Oryzias latipes: one gene and its partners. The protein of the gene in region 4 purifies or fractionates together with the protein of the main gene of each other region. This does not show direct contact. Links are inferred from orthologs where the notes say so. Each region holds a gene or a part of one and is shown on either strand. Other genes may lie near its edges.

The links. The genes of interacting proteins can lie anywhere in the genome.
Region 1: the proteins of ambra1 (region 4) and hspd1 purify together in Homo sapiens (affinity purification with mass spectrometry, with the first as the bait; 3 studies listed by BioGRID). This does not show direct contact. The link is inferred for Oryzias latipes from reciprocal best matches to the Homo sapiens genes AMBRA1 and HSPD1.
Region 2: the proteins of ambra1 (region 4) and nek9 purify together in Homo sapiens (affinity purification with mass spectrometry; 3 studies listed by BioGRID and IntAct, with this or other methods). This does not show direct contact. The link is inferred for Oryzias latipes from reciprocal best matches to the Homo sapiens genes AMBRA1 and NEK9.
Region 3: the proteins of ambra1 (region 4) and bag5 purify together in Homo sapiens (affinity purification with mass spectrometry, with the first as the bait; 3 studies listed by BioGRID). This does not show direct contact. The link is inferred for Oryzias latipes from reciprocal best matches to the Homo sapiens genes AMBRA1 and BAG5.

The regions. Positions count from the first base shown.
Region 1 is NC_019879.2:154,290-158,549, reverse strand, and holds the start of hspd1 (60 kDa heat shock protein, mitochondrial), read right to left. Parts: upstream 2,801-4,260; 5' UTR 2,689-2,800; intron 1,100-2,688; 5' UTR 1,098-1,099; coding exon 924-1,097; intron 824-923; coding exon 488-823; intron 413-487; coding exon 317-412; intron 103-316; coding exon 9-102; intron 1-8. UniProt on the Homo sapiens protein: Chaperonin implicated in mitochondrial protein import and macromolecular assembly. Together with Hsp10, facilitates the correct folding of imported proteins.
Region 2 is NC_019880.2:13,219,229-13,223,296, reverse strand, and holds the start of nek9 (serine/threonine-protein kinase Nek9), read right to left. Parts: upstream 2,801-4,068; 5' UTR 2,520-2,800; coding exon 2,334-2,519; intron 1,840-2,333; coding exon 1,662-1,839; intron 1,592-1,661; coding exon 1,536-1,591; intron 1,453-1,535; coding exon 1,382-1,452; intron 1,299-1,381; coding exon 1,193-1,298; intron 1,085-1,192; coding exon 953-1,084; intron 866-952; coding exon 755-865; intron 680-754; coding exon 615-679; intron 270-614; coding exon 219-269; intron 150-218; coding exon 1-149.
Region 3 is NC_019880.2:21,267,805-21,271,966, forward strand, and holds the start of bag5 (BAG family molecular chaperone regulator 5), read left to right. Parts: upstream 1-1,362; 5' UTR 1,363-2,001; coding exon 2,002-2,057; intron 2,058-2,540; coding exon of another isoform or gene 2,541-2,669; exon of another isoform or gene 2,670-2,788; intron 2,789-2,923; exon of another isoform or gene 2,924-3,407; coding exon of another isoform or gene 3,408-3,430; intron 3,431-3,688; exon of another isoform or gene 3,689-3,855; coding exon of another isoform or gene 3,856-3,887; intron 3,888-4,162. Other genes in the region: apopt1 (apoptogenic protein 1, mitochondrial), read right to left, coding at 481-678, 2,541-2,669. UniProt on the Homo sapiens protein: Co-chaperone for HSP/HSP70 proteins. It functions as a nucleotide-exchange factor promoting the release of ADP from HSP70, thereby activating HSP70-mediated protein refolding.
Region 4 is NC_019864.2:26,780,463-26,783,962, reverse strand, and holds part of ambra1 (activating molecule in BECN1-regulated autophagy protein 1), read right to left. Parts: intron 2,270-3,500; 5' UTR 2,196-2,269; coding exon 2,064-2,195; intron 803-2,063; coding exon 744-802; intron 572-743; coding exon 388-571; intron 5-387; coding exon 1-4. UniProt on the Homo sapiens protein: Substrate-recognition component of a DCX (DDB1-CUL4-X-box) E3 ubiquitin-protein ligase complex involved in cell cycle control and autophagy.

The sequences.
Region 1 (4,260 bases), on a different chromosome or scaffold from region 4:
AGCCTTACCTTTGGCGGTGTTGATGAAGTAGGGAGAGATGTAACCGCGGTCAAACTTCATGCCCTCGATGATCTCCAGCTCGTCCTGCAGCGTTTTCCCGTCCTGCGGCAGAAGGAATGAATGTTAACCAGAAAGCTTCTAGACGCCGTCAAAGGTTGGACAATGAGGACACAGGAAGTCCTCTCAGAGGCTTTGGTCCAACCCCCCATGTATGGACGCAGAACGTGCTGCCATCATTTGCCACATAACGGTCATCCAGAACCGGAGGATGTTCTCCACTCCGGTGGGTGGACTCCTCGCAGCCCCTCCCCCTCACCTTCACGGTGATGACTCCTTTGCGGCCCACTTTCTTCATTGCGTTGGAGATGATGTTTCCGATCTCCGTGTCTCCATTGGCTGAGATGGTTGCGACCTGAAACGACACGCGTGATGAGTGAGGGTGACCGTGTGGAGACGGCGTCAGGACAACCGGATGCCCTTCCCAGACCTGTGCGATCTCCTCTGGGGTGGTGACGGGCTTGGAGAGTCTCTGCAGCTCGCCGATGACCGCCTCCACCGCCATCATGACGCCGCGGCGGATCTCCACAGGGTTTGCACCTTTGCTGATGTTGTCGAAGCCCTCCTTGGCGATGGCTCTGGCCAGCACCGTGGCGGTGGTGGTGCCATCGCCAGCCTCCTCGTTGGTGTTGTTTGCCACATCCTGCACCAGCCTGGCACCGATGTTCTTGTACTTGTCCTTCAGATCGATGCTCTTGGCCACCGTCACGCCGTCCTTGGTGACCTTGGGGCTGCCCCAGCTCTGCTCGATGATGACAGTGCGTCCCTGGACCGGGAAGACGATGCTTAAAACATTCGACTGGAGCACTTTCACACCTTTCCTGTTCTGTTTCCAAACCTAATCCACCCGTCAGCGGGTTTGTTACCTTTGGGCCCATGGTGACGGCCACAGCATCCGCCAACAGGTCCACCCCCTGCAGCATGAGCGCCCGAGCGTCCGCCCCGAACTTCACGTCCTTGGCGTAGGCCCGTGTGAGATGAGGGGCCAGCGCCCGGCTCACGGGCCTCACCTGCCTCATGACTGTCGCTAAACGAAACATCTCTGTGGAGAAAAGCAGTGAAGCCATTGAGGATCCTACAGGACCAGCAGTACCGCCCGGTGGTCACCAGTGGAATTACAGTGAGCGGGAACTTAAGCAAACCCACGTGACACGCAGCATCTAAGCATCCTTAAGATGCAGACTGAGCACAAGCAAGCAGTTAATTTTTACCAGAAACATCATCTGAAACTGGGAATTTGTGACCAAGTTCAGAACATCCTGCTTAAATTGTGGGGGGAGAGGAAAGTAACTTCATCTGTGCTGCATGTCTGTCTTGTGTCTGCAGCATATTTGACAACAAAGCTGACTTTGACTTGTTTCTCCTCAGTCGGCCTGATCTTGGTTCAGCAGCATTTCAAACTGTAACAAGCGGGTCACACTCATTTTCACTGAGGGCCACATCAGCATAGTGTCTGTCCTCAAAGGGCCAGATGTAACTTATACATGTAACTAAATGTAATGAAAATAAATGCAACTACTCCTTAATGATAAATAACTCATTATTTATTTATTATAACTTTTTAAATTGACAATTCCAGCTGCATAGAAAACATATGTTTGCTTGTTATTCTAACACAAATCCTTTTACATTTGATTCTGTCAGGTTAGGTTATGTGGACAGTGTTTAAGTCCTGATGTATAGATGACCAATCCAACATTTAAATCCAATTCCCCCCAGATATGAATAAATACACACCAATGTTTATTTTTTATTCCAAGAAATTAAACACCTTTATGTTCTCGTGGGCCACATAAAATGACACGGAGGGCCACATTTGGCCCCCGGGCCTTGAGGTTGACACATGCTGTAGACGGTCAGGTTAAAGCCAGAAACGCTCCACCATCATCAGCTCCAATGGAGCATCCAGAACCCAGCCCGACATTCCCGCAGCTTCCATGCGTCCAGACGGGAGGAGGTAAGGGGGCGGAGTCAAGGACACGGCCTCGGGCCCGAACTTCTGATTGGTGGAGTATAACTGATGGGACCCTCCAAGCTGCCTCTCATTCATTCCTACGGTGACAGATCTGCTACCATTTCCTCAAACACGCCTTTTAAAATGACCGAAATACCAAAAGATAAACTTTAGTTTCCAGAACAACAGCGGCTGTTACAGTTTTCGGAATAATAATTGCAGCTTATTTCATTCAAATGAAGCTTTTCATGAATAAAGGATTCTTAACCCCTCCTGGGGGCACTAGAACCTGGTCCTACCGGGTAACGCCTGGTGAGAACCAGTCTGAGGGGTTATTAAAGCCCCACATGCCCCGCAGTCTGCTCACAGCCCCCGGTTCCCCACGTGAGCTCCTCCGGTCGTACGTCACAAGGTCAAACGTTAGAGCTCGTGCCGGCTCCCTGGACGGATTCCCTCAGCCGCTCCAGAGTAACGGGATTACACGGGGGTAACTGAGTATTTGACACGTCCCTGCCGCGGTCCCGGAATCATCAGGACGAACCGGTCCGCATACGCCAGAACCGGCTGTTCAGACAAACCCGAGCTCGGTTCTGTTCGGTTCTCCACGCACCGACAGGACAAAGTGCCGCGCGCGCAGAGACGGATCCCTGCTGCGGGTTCGGACGGTCGGTTCTTACCTGACAGGGAACCGCTGCGATCTGCCGCACGCGCTGCACGAGTGATCTAACGGAGAATACCGCACGTGGGGAATCACATCCGGGTTATGTACGGCCCCGCCCAGAACTCTGTATGACGCATAACTACTTCAATAAAACTTCTCTTTTACGTTCAAGTTGTTATCCCCGTCTTTAATCTTCATGGAGACGTTTATTCATACCTGCGCAGAATGTTCTGATCATTTATTCTCACATGAACTTTGTTACAACTAACAGAGAAACGCAGCAACGCACACTTATGCTGGTTCCTGGGCTACGATTCCAGAATTTTCCGTACCCCATTGGAGGAAAAAAAAGAGGTCAAAGGTCACATTGTGCAACATTGCGCGAGCCCGTAGAGAGTGACTTTGAAACGAAATCACCGTTTCAATGACAAATGCGGCCTAGATAGACCGGAACTGTAGGTACGGGTCTGCCTGCAGCCCCGCTGTTCTGGAGCTTTCTGTCAGCGCCTCGTTACTGCGCATGCGCGATCTGGAGGCTTCCCTCACGTGGAGACAAAGTGCAGACGGTCCGAAGCTCTCTCAGTGAAGACGTGCAGCTCTGCGCAAGCGCTCAAAAATGGTGAGGAGAGAGAAAATGATGGGATTTCTGGTTGTTTACAGCATTTAACGTCTGTCTCTGTTAGCGCGCGGGGGGGGGGGGGGGGGGGTAGTGATTGGGCTAACGATGATGACCACCACGCGCAAGGTCACGCGTCCGGTGTGCTATCCGCCGGTTCCGTTAAACCAGCTCCGTGCACTGCGCCCCATTCAGCTTATGGGACGGCGTTCGGCGCGGCGTGCCTTGCTCAAGGACACTTCCATAAGACACCGACCAGCTGCTGAACCGCGTCATCGGGTTAGCCTGGAGTGGATCGGGTTAGAAGCGAGTCAAAGACCACAGCAGCCCACGTGCTTCTTTTTTCAGACTGCGGGATCAACACCGTGAATATCTTAAGGACAGTAGTGCGTGTACACGGATGTGCGTGCACGTGTCCTGCTGGTCACCTGGTCAGGTGTGTTTAGCCAATAAGGAGCTTGAGCGGCAGGTTGGTTAGAACATGTAGGACACCGGCCCTCCAGGCCTGGATTTGGGGCCCCTGCTCTGGAGGGTCCTCGGCCTGTGGGACCTCTTCCTGGGGTCCAGGTGCTGCTCCAGGGCGCCACCTGCTGTCGGGTTTGGATGCCGTGGATGCCTGCTGTGGTTTTTGGGTGGTTCGGCCCGGTTCTCCTCTCGGTTCGGGTCAGTTTTAGTCTGGTCGGGGGGTGTCTTAAAGTCGGACCTCTTCTCTCTGAGTTTCCCTCTGACGTAGGTCGGATTCAGACTCGGGTTTGAAGGTTTCATTGCGTCTTCATGCAGTTCTGCTGTGGGGGCGGGACGGTTGATGAGCCGGCTCCTCCGTGTTTGGGTCGGGCAGCATGGGTGGAGCCTGTGGAGACTGGAATGAGCCGGAGAGGCTGTTTGCTCAGGATCTGGGGGGGGGGGTGTCCTCGGCCTGCCTGCTCTCAGGGTAAACGGGCTCATCCAACGGCAGCATCCGGCTGAAGGACG
Region 2 (4,068 bases), on a different chromosome or scaffold from region 4:
AATGATTCTCTCCTGCACACACATGCTGGGCCCCGCTGCCTGCTTTGAATGAGTCAAGTTTTTGGGGGGTAAACTTCCCTCCTCCCCAATAGTACACCTCCCTTGAACGTGTCACCACGGCAATGGAACTCTCCGACACTGGATTTAATCTATACCATAAAAGTCAGTTGGTTACATATTACCTGTATATAACATTCATTTAAAAAAAAATTACTAACTTTGGTCTCTTCATTGATGAATTCAGCAAGACAACTTGCTCCTCAAGCTCCCTGAAAGAAAATGAAGCAAATGCGACAAATAAAAAAAGGGATGTTTTCCTACGACAGAGTTTTAGGGCCACCAAAAAAAAAAAAATTACAATTTTGAAACCTATCTGGAAATAAAGCTTCTCTAAAGGCTCCACATCTTTCATCTTCAAGCTAGGCTCCGATAAACAGACAACTTTGGTGTTTTTTCTCGTCAATTTGTGACTTTTTCTTGCAAATTTACGAGATTTTAAGTCGTAAATAAACGACTTTAAATTCAAAACAAAAAAAAATTAAAAAACTTGTTTGTAAACTGGCCCTAAAACTCCGTCGTCGTTTCCAAAAGTATAAAAATAGAAATACTCTCACTGTCTGCAGCAGGAGATGGAAGGCTGGTCCAGAATGTGCTCAGCTGTTGGCCTTTTTGCAGGATCCTGTAAGTAAAAAGAAGTGAACTGCCGCTCAGAGGTAAACGCTGTTTTCCCTGCAGAACTGATCCTCGCTCTTACCTGATGCAGACACTCGTACACCAGCTTCAACAGTCCGGACGAATAAATGTCAGAGACCCCTTCCATAGTCCAGTTGCCTTGGACTATTTTAACACAGAGGTTTAACGGGTTCTGTGCAAACACAGGAGTTGCAGAAATGCATTTAAGTAAGCAAGAAAAAGAGGATGGAACAGTTTATGAAAATCCAGTCAAACTCACTGTTGCATCAAATGTTCTTTTTAGAGTTAAGACTTCATAAAGGACACAACCCATAGCCCAAATGTCGGATTTGAAGTTGTACTTTGCTCCCTGGCACAATTCAGGTGACATGTAATATGGAGTTCCTACACACTGGAAACACAAAAGAAGACAAAAATTGATACAAGAATTACTACCAAGGAATTCTTTTAACGTTATGTAGGGCGTTTAAATCCAATGTTTACTCATCCACATCCTTACTGTCTCTGCCATTGAAAACTCAGAGTCCAGCTTCTTTGCAAGGCCATAATCCCCCAGCTTGATGAGGTCTGTCTTGGTCAGGAAAATGTTCAAAGTTTTGATATCTCTGCAAACGGCGGGAAAAAAGTAAACATATTTAAAACACAATTGTTTGAAAACACAAACTTGGGTTCCTTGCATGAACGTTACCTGTGTAAGATCCCAGCTTTGTGAATGTAGGCCACTGCTGAAGCAATTTGATAGAGGTACCATACCACTACCTAGGATTAAAAGGCACAAACGATCGTAGAAAAGTAAAACAAAAGAAATTTAGATCAATCAAAAGCCTACACCGCGCTCATACCTTCTCGGAAAAGGGAACTCCTTTCTGCTGGACGATTTTATCGTACAAATTTCCTCCTGTCAGGACAAAAGCATTCCCTGTAGCAAATCCTTGAAAGGAAACAAGAAGGTGGACGATCAGACGTACCGTTGCAATACTCCAACTCAATGAGCAGAGAGTTTTTGTCCATAAAGTGGTTGAAGTAAGCTATGATGTTGTTGTGCTCCAACACGGAGAGGATGTTGATTTCATTCATGACATCTCGACGTTCCTTCTCTGAGAGCGAGTTCAAGTCCACCTCTTTCCACACCACCAAGGAATTATCCTAAGACAAAAGACAACGGAAAATTAGAGACTATTCTATCACAGGGTTCGTGAATAATTTTGAATCAAGAATCTAAATAACAGGTTGTGTACACATAATAACCAGTCAAAACAAACACTAATGCTCAATATCACACTATATTTGCAGGATTATGCTTATCAAAATACAATACTAAAACCACATAAATAGGACACTATTAAATAATAAGTTATTTTTAAAATTAACTATTAGATAATCTATAAAAAGAAAATAATCAATTTTAATTTAAATTCACCAAAGAAAATGTTAATGATAAATTAATTTACAATGATAGGGTCAAAAATCTTGCTTTTTCACAGCGGTGGAAAAAAGGAAATATTTACATTTTATTTTATCCCAACAAAAAAAAAACAACAAAAAGGACCAATTAAAGAAAATGTATTACAATTCAACTAACTTTCATTTACTTTTATTTTAAAAATATTCTAATAAAATAGCAGTAGCACCTAGCTTACCTCAGTTCTTCTGTACAGAGTCGCTTCCCCAAACGCCCCCCTCCCCAGGATCCGGATAGGAATGTAGTGTAACTTCTCCTCTTCGCCATAAAACGTCCCAGAAGATGACCGCTCACTGCCCACAGACTCGCCGCCTAAATCCGAATTTAGCGACTCGAAATGCCGCTCATATTCCTGCACTGACATTTTCTGATGAGGGGGTTTGCTGTTAGCCAAGAGCAGGGATGAAAATACCTCGAAAGGCCTACAACAACACTTTCAGAGTCGCTCCTATAATAAGCTCGTGCACACGTACGACATGTTTACACAGTCGGCTAACAGAAGACCTGTCAAAGTACGAGTAAACAGGATTACTCAAAGGCACTTGAGGTATATAAAGTTACACAAACATAACGTTTAAAGAAATGCGTGCAACTAAAGGAGACAGACAAATGTCAAGTAAATTATAAAAGGAAAACGACTCTTCGGCAATTTATTTCTGAATTTTCAACATAAAAGACTGCCTTAATGTATTTGTCGGAGGGTGTTCTACGGCGAAAGGGTGCGAAATGTATTTCCGGAACGTCACTACGTTGCGACCGATAACTTGATGGAAACTAAAGGCAAACTACGTCTGGTATTAACATTCTGAAGTTAGACATACCCTACAATGTACACAAAAGTGCAACATTTGTATAAATCAAACGTAAAAGGAGGGGAAAATAATGAAATAAGTCAATTTTTTGAAAGCGGTAGTTTGTTGTTCTCGATGCATGAACCCGGAAATGATCGTCTGTCGCTGTCTTGTAGTCAATACGGAATAACTGAACAGTATCAGTTGGCAGAAAATCTATATTGAAACAGGACTGGATTGACAGGTTTGCTTTTTTTGTAAAAGATTTAACTGACTGAAAGAAATATTTTGACTTGTTTACATCTTTTACGGATAAATACTATCTCACCTGCTCCCCTAAAGAAAAAAAAACTCAAACATTTTTTTTGAACAACTATAAAATATGAAGGAAAGAATATATCATGTCCACAATCGAGCTTGCTTTAGATCACTTCCTAATTTAAACTGTCAACCTGCATTAGTTAAAGCACATTCAAAATACGTTAGATGGCCTGTACTGCTCCAAATAAAAGAAACTCCTTTTAAAGTAATAATAAAATTCCACCCTGTCTCTGAATTTCTTAAAGCAGATTTAAATTGGATGTGGAACCTTGCACTTTTTTGTAATGAAACTTTGGAACATTTCTTCATTCTGCATTTTTTCATGCAAGGATTTCTGGACTTATATGGAATTGGATTAATCTAAAACTAAACATTCCCCCTTTTTGGATTGCTGATGTAATATTGTTCATGGAAAATTTAGATAATTCTAACATATTGCTAATGTAATTTTACTTATACTATATCCACTGTTGCAGGGATTGTGATAATTGAAAATATTACAATCCTGAGAATCTGCTAAATAAATCTCTGAACAAATTTCCTTGCTGTTATTCTATTTAGTTTCCTGTGCCATTAGGCTCCCGTTTTGTTTTATTTAATTATCTGTTTTATCTTATTGTATTTATGTTGTTCTCTTATTTTCCTTCTGAAAGCAATCAGTAACAGAATGTGTTGATCAGTTCAGACTGTATCATTGTCTGTACTTGTGTCCTAGTATGTTGATCCTCTGCTGGAGTTTGTATCTTGTCATTGTTATGTTCAATTATTACACAAATAATTGTTTTCAAAATTTAGTCTATT
Region 3 (4,162 bases), on a different chromosome or scaffold from region 4:
TGCTTTTGGATGCTCTGCAGAAATCCTGTGCAGGAAGCGCGTTGCTGCCCTCTGGTGGTGAATCTCAAATACCGACACACACAGGACAAAATAACTGATTTAAAAAACCAGCAGTGTCACTCAAGTCCTGCTCTTCTTTATTTATTATATGTAAGGTTTTCACAATATTGTTATTCACTGATAAAATGAGTTAAAGTGCTTTTTAAAGTGAGCGGCCCAGAGGAACGTCAAATCGGTGTTTTGTTTGCTTTAACACAAGCATCAGTTTTCCTGATGCTGGTTTTTAGGAGCGACTGCTGTCAGTCCAGCCATGTTGGACCCCGTTGTGTGGGGGAGGACGTTTTAACCGAGGAAGGACGTGTCACGTGTCCTGCAGCTCCCACCGATGCCGAGATGTTCCTGAATGCATGTCGGGAAACGAGGAACCTGAAAACCTCGTCTGGACAGGATGGCACACTTGTAAAAAATGTTGGTTTCAACCTGGCTGAAGTTGAGGTTCTGCTGGGTCCAGAACTTGTGGTTCCAGTCCTCCGTCTCCTGCCTCAGGTTTCTCAGCCTCTTTTCCAGCTCCGACTCCTCCTCAGGGATGCGGTAGATGATCGGCCGCAGGTTGGACAGCGGGTTCGGGGGGCCGATCCAGTCATGTGTAGAGCTGGGCTCCGGTCTCAAAGGTGTCCGCTGAAAAATGGAAATATGAACAATAATTAAACGTATTTACTAAGAACAGATGGACTGCAAACCGCAGTCCCATGCCCACATCCTAATGTTTGCAGCATTTGTCCAAAGATGGACTTTACAAGTGACCAAAAAAATGTAAAAAAAAAAAAGAAAATAAAACACCAGAAAAAGGTGTTCGTTTAACCCTGGAGAACCCAGCAACCATTTTTTTTTCAGGGCTTTTAAAGGTAATTAAGCAAATTTGATTTTGTTTCTTCATTTTGGAAAGCAGCAATTAACAGCAACCAAAAAAAACTTCAAATGAAAACCTAAAAATAAAGGAAAAACTAGAGAGAAAAAGAAATAAATAAAAACCATAGAGCTAAAGTTGATCCTGTGGATTCCCCCAGAGTTAAAAACACAGAGACAAGTCAAAAAGATAACTAACAATGAATTAATTTGTCCCACCAGATCGATCTGTCTGAGCCAAGAGGGTAATCAATTCCAATTGACCTCTACCATTAAAAAAATCGTTAAAATCGATTATATTGATCTTGGAAAATACCATTTAGATTGAGGTACAGTAGGTTTATTTGACTATAAGGTCAAACCGCCCAATCACAGCAACACACATGTGATGTCATTAACACGGATCAGTCCATCATTCCAGTCCAATGTGTGGACAGACTTTGAATAAAGTCATGCGACCATCCAGTGTCTAGAATGTTCTAAGAATGTTCCCTTTGGATTCTTTGGATGTGGAAAAACAACAGTGGAGAACTTTAGGAGAAGATCAACCAACAACTGTTTGCTTTTTTCAGGAAACTCTTTTTCAAAGAGGGCCAACTATTCAATGCATTAAAAGCAAATAAACTATGAACATTATTATGGCAATTGGACTCTTCCTATTTCTTCACATAAAAGAGAATTCTATCTAAATACATTTGTACATGAATTTCTGATTAGAAGGCCAGACTTAAAATCCAGAATAGGTCTGCAGCTTTGATGGCCCTTTGGAGCCAGCGCAGTCTGAGGGTTTTTGATGGGACGGCCCCCCAGGCATGATGCAGAGGGAACCAGAGGACTCCAGAAAACCCATTTTAACCGGGCCAAAGCATGTGAACGCATCTAAGAATAACCAACAGAATCCATCAGACTCTGGCGCTTCAGGTTCCTACGGTTTGGGGCTGAGGTGGGTCAGCAGGAGGCCCTGCAGGAGGGCAGCAGGAGGGATGCAGGAGGCCCTGCAGGAGGGATGCAGGAGGCCCTGCAGTCTAACTGGAGGCATCTGCTTATCAGTGCAGAGCAGACGGCAGCAGGAGAAGAGCACGGAGGAGAGCAGGCATGAGGAGAGCAGGGAGGAGGAAGACTCCATCCAGGACCCAGAGGCCTGAAAAAAGGTGCGTTATGACATCACTACCTTCAGCTGCAGAAGTCTTTGGACTTTCTTCATCATTACGGTTACATTTACTACAGTGAATCAGAAACATTAGCCCAAACAAACCCACTGACAGCTGTTACAGATGGGTTCTACTGGTGTCTTTTGATTCTCGCAGCCTTTCTGTGAGGATCTAGAGCCGTTAAATGAAACTTCAGAACCAGATGACGTGAAAATCTCTCATGGTTGCTGATGAAAAGCCTGTCCGTTAGGCCTAAGCAGCACTAAACATAGAAGGAGTTGGTTAAAGCCATGTTTAGTTCAGCCAGTCAGTAACCTGCAGGTCAATTAGACTTTTTGGCTGTGCAGACCTAGTGCGCATGCGTCGTTATCTTGGTTTTCACAGCAGGATCAGAACCTCAGCGTTTCTGATTCCTCCGGTAATGTGAGCACGGAGCCTGGGATAAAAACACCAACGCGGAACGGACTGCGGCGGCGCGCGCACCTTGGCGGCTTTATCCTGTTGGCTCGTTGGATTATTAGAGCCGTTGCGCCGGATGTTTACATCCAGCAGTTGCACGCGGGAGTTCCGCGCGCTCCTCCACGACAAGCGTCCAGCTGCCCCGAATGTCATTCCCGCAAAATCAAGGCACTGTCACGCAGAAAAGCTAAACACGCAACGGTGGCGAACAACCCATGTCTCCCAACTGTATGTCCTTCCGCGAGGATGTAGGACAGGTGGTCACGTGAGCTGCAAAAAACGGCTAGAGACGCTCGGAAACAGCACCTTCGCAAGCCGTTAGTCAAGTCTCTGCCCGACGGGTTCGGAGCAGATGAGGTTTCAAACTAAACTCTAAATAAAACATATTTCTAGAAAGATACTGTCAAAACTTTTCATCGCAAAAGCTTCAAGTACCAAAGCTACAAACTACGTTTTGAGTACGTTATTTAAAAACACTGCTATATTTATGTTTTATCAGAAGCGATAACGAAATAAAACATAAACAAAACGGGTCGAGTTTGTCTCCGCACAGAGTTGGTGATTAAATGGAGCGCACTCGCTGTTGGCCGACAACAACCTTCCCTGCGTCTGAACTGATAAAAGCTTCATTATTAAACGAGATAATGACCAACAAGATTAACCAAAGTGTTAGGAATGTGTACAGATATAGTTGTAGCTGTTGGTTACACTCAGAGATTGAAATATTGATTAAAATACGAAGTGGGAGGGTAGATTCAGCGAAACAATCGAACTCCGTGAAACTATAGTGGCGAGGCTGAGACGGGAAAGTAAGTCCGTGAAGGTGCAGCTAGGCGGGCTAATGTTGATCTTCAACAGAAGGTTTGGGGCTTTTCCTTCGCAGCGGGGTACATGGCTGTTCGCTGGTTATGCAGGTAAGACTGGGGCGGTTCAACGGCGGGTAGATGCCGGCGTAAAGCCGCAGTTTATGCGGTCAAGGTGGGGCAGAGTCAGTCAGGTGATCACCGACAGCTCACAACGGTGTTAACGGGCTGGAAAAAGACCCGGTGGTGGGATTTCATCTTTCGAAGTCAAATATCTGCGCGTGTAGGTCAAGTGTTTGGGGTTTTTTTTATTTTAAAAGAAGGGGGGGGGGGGGGGGGACAAAACCATGTTTGCAGACGTAGTGGCTTAGAGGTGGGAGGGGCGACAGCCGCCGGACTGCAGGCGGGCGGGCAGAGTCTGTCTGCTGGTCGCCGGAGCATCGCGACACCTCCGCGGGCTCCTGTCTGCGCACGCGGCTGCTCCCCAGCTTCGCCGGCCGCCTGCTTTCTGCTGATGGAAACAGACATCTCTCAGAATGTGCGCGAACGTGTTCGGAGTCCTGAAGAGGTGAGGCGGCGTCAGGGCGGGGCGGGGGGGCTGGTTCGGCTTCACGCTCGTCCGCCCGCAGAGCCAGCGGCCACGCAGGGTTTCCCGCGGGGGACTAGCGTTGGCGGGGCGGCTGTTGAACCGCGTCCGGTTCGGGTTCCGAACGGCCGCGTGCGCCTCAGAGGCCCTCTCTGGCTGCTGTAACCAAACGGAGGCGCGCGCTGATTGGCCGTCCGCGCGGGGACTGGACTCCGATTATCCTAATAAATGCTGAGATTTGGCAGCTTTCCCCTCTG
Region 4 (3,500 bases):
CACCCTGCAGGAGGAGGAGCGGTCAAACACAGCACAGGAGCACTAAAACTACACAACTTAATTTGTTTTGTTGTGTTTTCTTCAGTTTTCATGAAAAGTAGGGATTTAATGCAGACAGCAACTTGATTTTTCTTTTTTCTTTTCAAAGCGCCAATGAATGCACCAGGGGTTTTTCGATTTCAATAGAAAAATTTTTTACATGCACACATGCTTTAACAATTTAATTTTTACACAAAAAAAGCTTCAACATAACAAATCCAGAAATCTTTTCTGACTTCCAAGAGATTTAAAAAAAACCTCTTGGTTTGAAATGAAACGTAGTCCTTTGCCATGGCAGCAGTCACAGCCTGTTAACAAACATCCAGAACTTTGGACCCGGATACTCACATGCAGGTCCCAGATTCGAACTTCACCATCAAGGCACCCAGAGGCCACCAGCCCGGGAATAGTGGGGTGGAAGGTCACGCACCAGGGCGTTCTTCTGTGGCCCACCAAAGAGTGGAGGCACTTCCCGGTCTTCACCTCAGTGATGTAGATGTTGTGGTTGACGTGGGTGGACGCCATCAGAGTCCTGCAGGGGGAACATGGGAGCTCTTCAGTCAGCAAAGATGGAAACTCGGAGAAAGACGGCCAAAGGAAGAGTCTTGCTGCTCGTCAAAGAAAATCCGCAGGTGGAGGGAACTCGTCTCTTTTCTCATCATTTACACAGGAGGTTTAAGCCTCGTGTCACTAGTGAGTCTCACCTGTCGGGGCTGAAGGCCAGCAGGAAGGTTGAACGAGGGCTGTCAGGCAGCTCCACCTTCTGTTAGAGCAGAGAACAGCAGGTAACAGTCAGTCAGGTTCAAGCATCAAAACCCATTCTTTATGACCATAAATAAAGACTCTTCCACACAGACATCTAAGTTTGCTTCAGAGAAAACTAAGAAACTCACATTTTTTTCTGACTCAAAAGTTTAAAAAAAAAGAAAAGAAAAAACAAATCAACTTCAAACACAAATTACATTTTAATCTTTGTTTATCTATACTTTGAATTTTCTTTTGTTAATACATGTCAAACTTGTTAAAAAGCAAAATGTTTGGAGCATCGCGATGCAGCAGAACTCGGCCACCAGGAGGTGCCCCACCCTCTTCTACCACTGTGGAGGCTGAAGCTTTGCTGCTGTGTTCACAACAAATGCAGCTCGCCTGGCAGAGGCGTCCAGTTTCAATGTTAAGTCAATGTCCAGACACGATGAGATTCTGCATATTTTGGCCATCAGGCAGGACGCGGTGGTCTAGAAGCAGTGCATTTTGGGCATGTCATGGGGGGGAATGTTTCCAGAGATAAAATATCTGAACTTTAGCAAAGAATTTGCATCGTGTCAATCAATCAGGAACTCAGCTTTGGCCCATGACGTGTTGATGATGTGATCAGCGGGTGGAGTCCAAAACCAACATAGAGGAGAATGTTGCTGTTTGTGCTCCTGCTGAACTTTACTGTTTTCTTATTTATATGGAGACAATATTTTAAAAAGATCCTCTAATTTTATACTTAATTTAATTTTTCCTTCCTCTGACGAATGCAGGACTGCAACTCATTATTCTGGGTCACAGAGAGGCAGAAGTAGCGCTGAAAGCGGCCGTCATTCAGACGCAGATCCTGCAGTAGATGGTGAACTTCACCGTATGGGGAGAGTCTCTGAAAGATCTCATGGAGACGTGTTTAACAACTCTTTTTTCTTCTGTCTTTCATTATGCACAGGTGAAGAAATAAACTTTTAAAAGTAGCTTCTCCCACACATGCAGGAGCGTCAGGTTTATGCACACATTTTTGGATAAGGGTCTAGCAGCCACTTTGATGCATGTCTAAACAGAGGTAGATGACGGAAATTTGATGCGCTGATGACGTTCGGTATGAACGCCGCATTAGACCTAAAGAGTTTAAACTGTAATATTTTATGGCAGCCGTCTAAAAAAATACTCAAAAAGCAAAACATTTTTTTAAATAAAAAAAGACAGAAAAACAATAGAAACTTGTGTCATGAGCTACACTAACTTGTTCCTAAATATGAGCCCGAACCCACCTGACTCTGCCATTTCATCCAGCGGACCTTCTCCTCCACCAGCAGCTGCAGCAGCCTCTGCGATCCCACCGTCTGGGACCCCCGCTCTCGGCTGTACAGGATCCGCACAGAGTTCCTATGACGAGACGCCATGTTGCTTCAGGTAGCCTCAGCTGATTGGCTGTTCACTCGTGCTGCTTGCTGTCCGCCGCCATCCAGAGTCTAGGCTAAAAAGAGAAAAGGTTGCTCAGTGTTTATATGATGGAAACTGGAGCTGAAAGTATTTGGGCCAAAAAGAGAGGATTCTGTAGATATGATGCAGTCTACACTCCACCCGGAGTCTAAATGATGACTTCTTCATTTTGAAGAATGAGAAATCCCAGTGTTCGTGAAGAATGTCAGCTTCAGCAAACACAAAGTCTGGATGTACTCAAATATGTCCTAATTTTTCTACTGCAGAACTGATCTGAGGAGTAACTGAAACAATCTGGTAAAACATTTTAGCTTTTGCTCGGTCTAGTAATCCTGGAAAGAAACAAACCTCACTCCGTCTCTAAATATCCTTATTAAACCAATAACAGACTGATGGGAAGTCATGTCCGACTTAGAGCTGCTTCCGCCTTAAGAGGTCCCAACAGCACAGAGATCGCAGGTTCAATACTCGCCCTGTCCGCCTGTGTGTCAAAGTATCCTTGGCAAGACACTGAGCCTTACATTCCTCCTGGCGGTTGTAGGTTGGTACCAGTGTTTGGTAGCGTATGAATGTCTGTGTGCTTAAGTGAATGAGACTGAAGGACTTCGGGCCTTCTAGGAAGCTAGTAAAGCTCTATACAAGTATACGCCATTTACAATTTCAATTAGCTCTCAAAACGGATATTTCTAAAAGGGCTGATATTTTATCAAATCATGACGTTGTGAATCGGTTCACGGTTCTGGCCGTAATACCAAACCTTGCAGCAGTAGTTTGTGACGCACCCACACAAACCCAGGAACTTGGGACTGCTGCCGACTTACAGCATTAAAAAAATAGACTAATTTACCCACAAAAAAAAAAAATACATTATGGATCCCTGGAGGTTTTTCCTATGAAGACAGAGTTCAAATCAATCTGGATCCAAAACATCTGGAGCTGCACTTATTGCATTCATACATGTATTATGAACAAGTGATAAAAATAAAAGAAAACAAGAACTTTTGCAAAGTATAACATATGCTAGAATATAAGGAAACTTGTGTAAGCAAGCAATATGTATAAATGTATAAATTCACAAGTCCCAAAAAAATTGGGGGAGGAGACTTGAGTAAACACACTTCGCCTTCCTAATACCCCCAAAAATTAAGAAATCCTGTTCATTTCCCTTCCACATAGAATTGTAAAAACATACCTTCATTTATACACATATTGTATACAAACCAGGATGACGGGCATGTTAAAGCGTTAATTATTTTAACCCACCT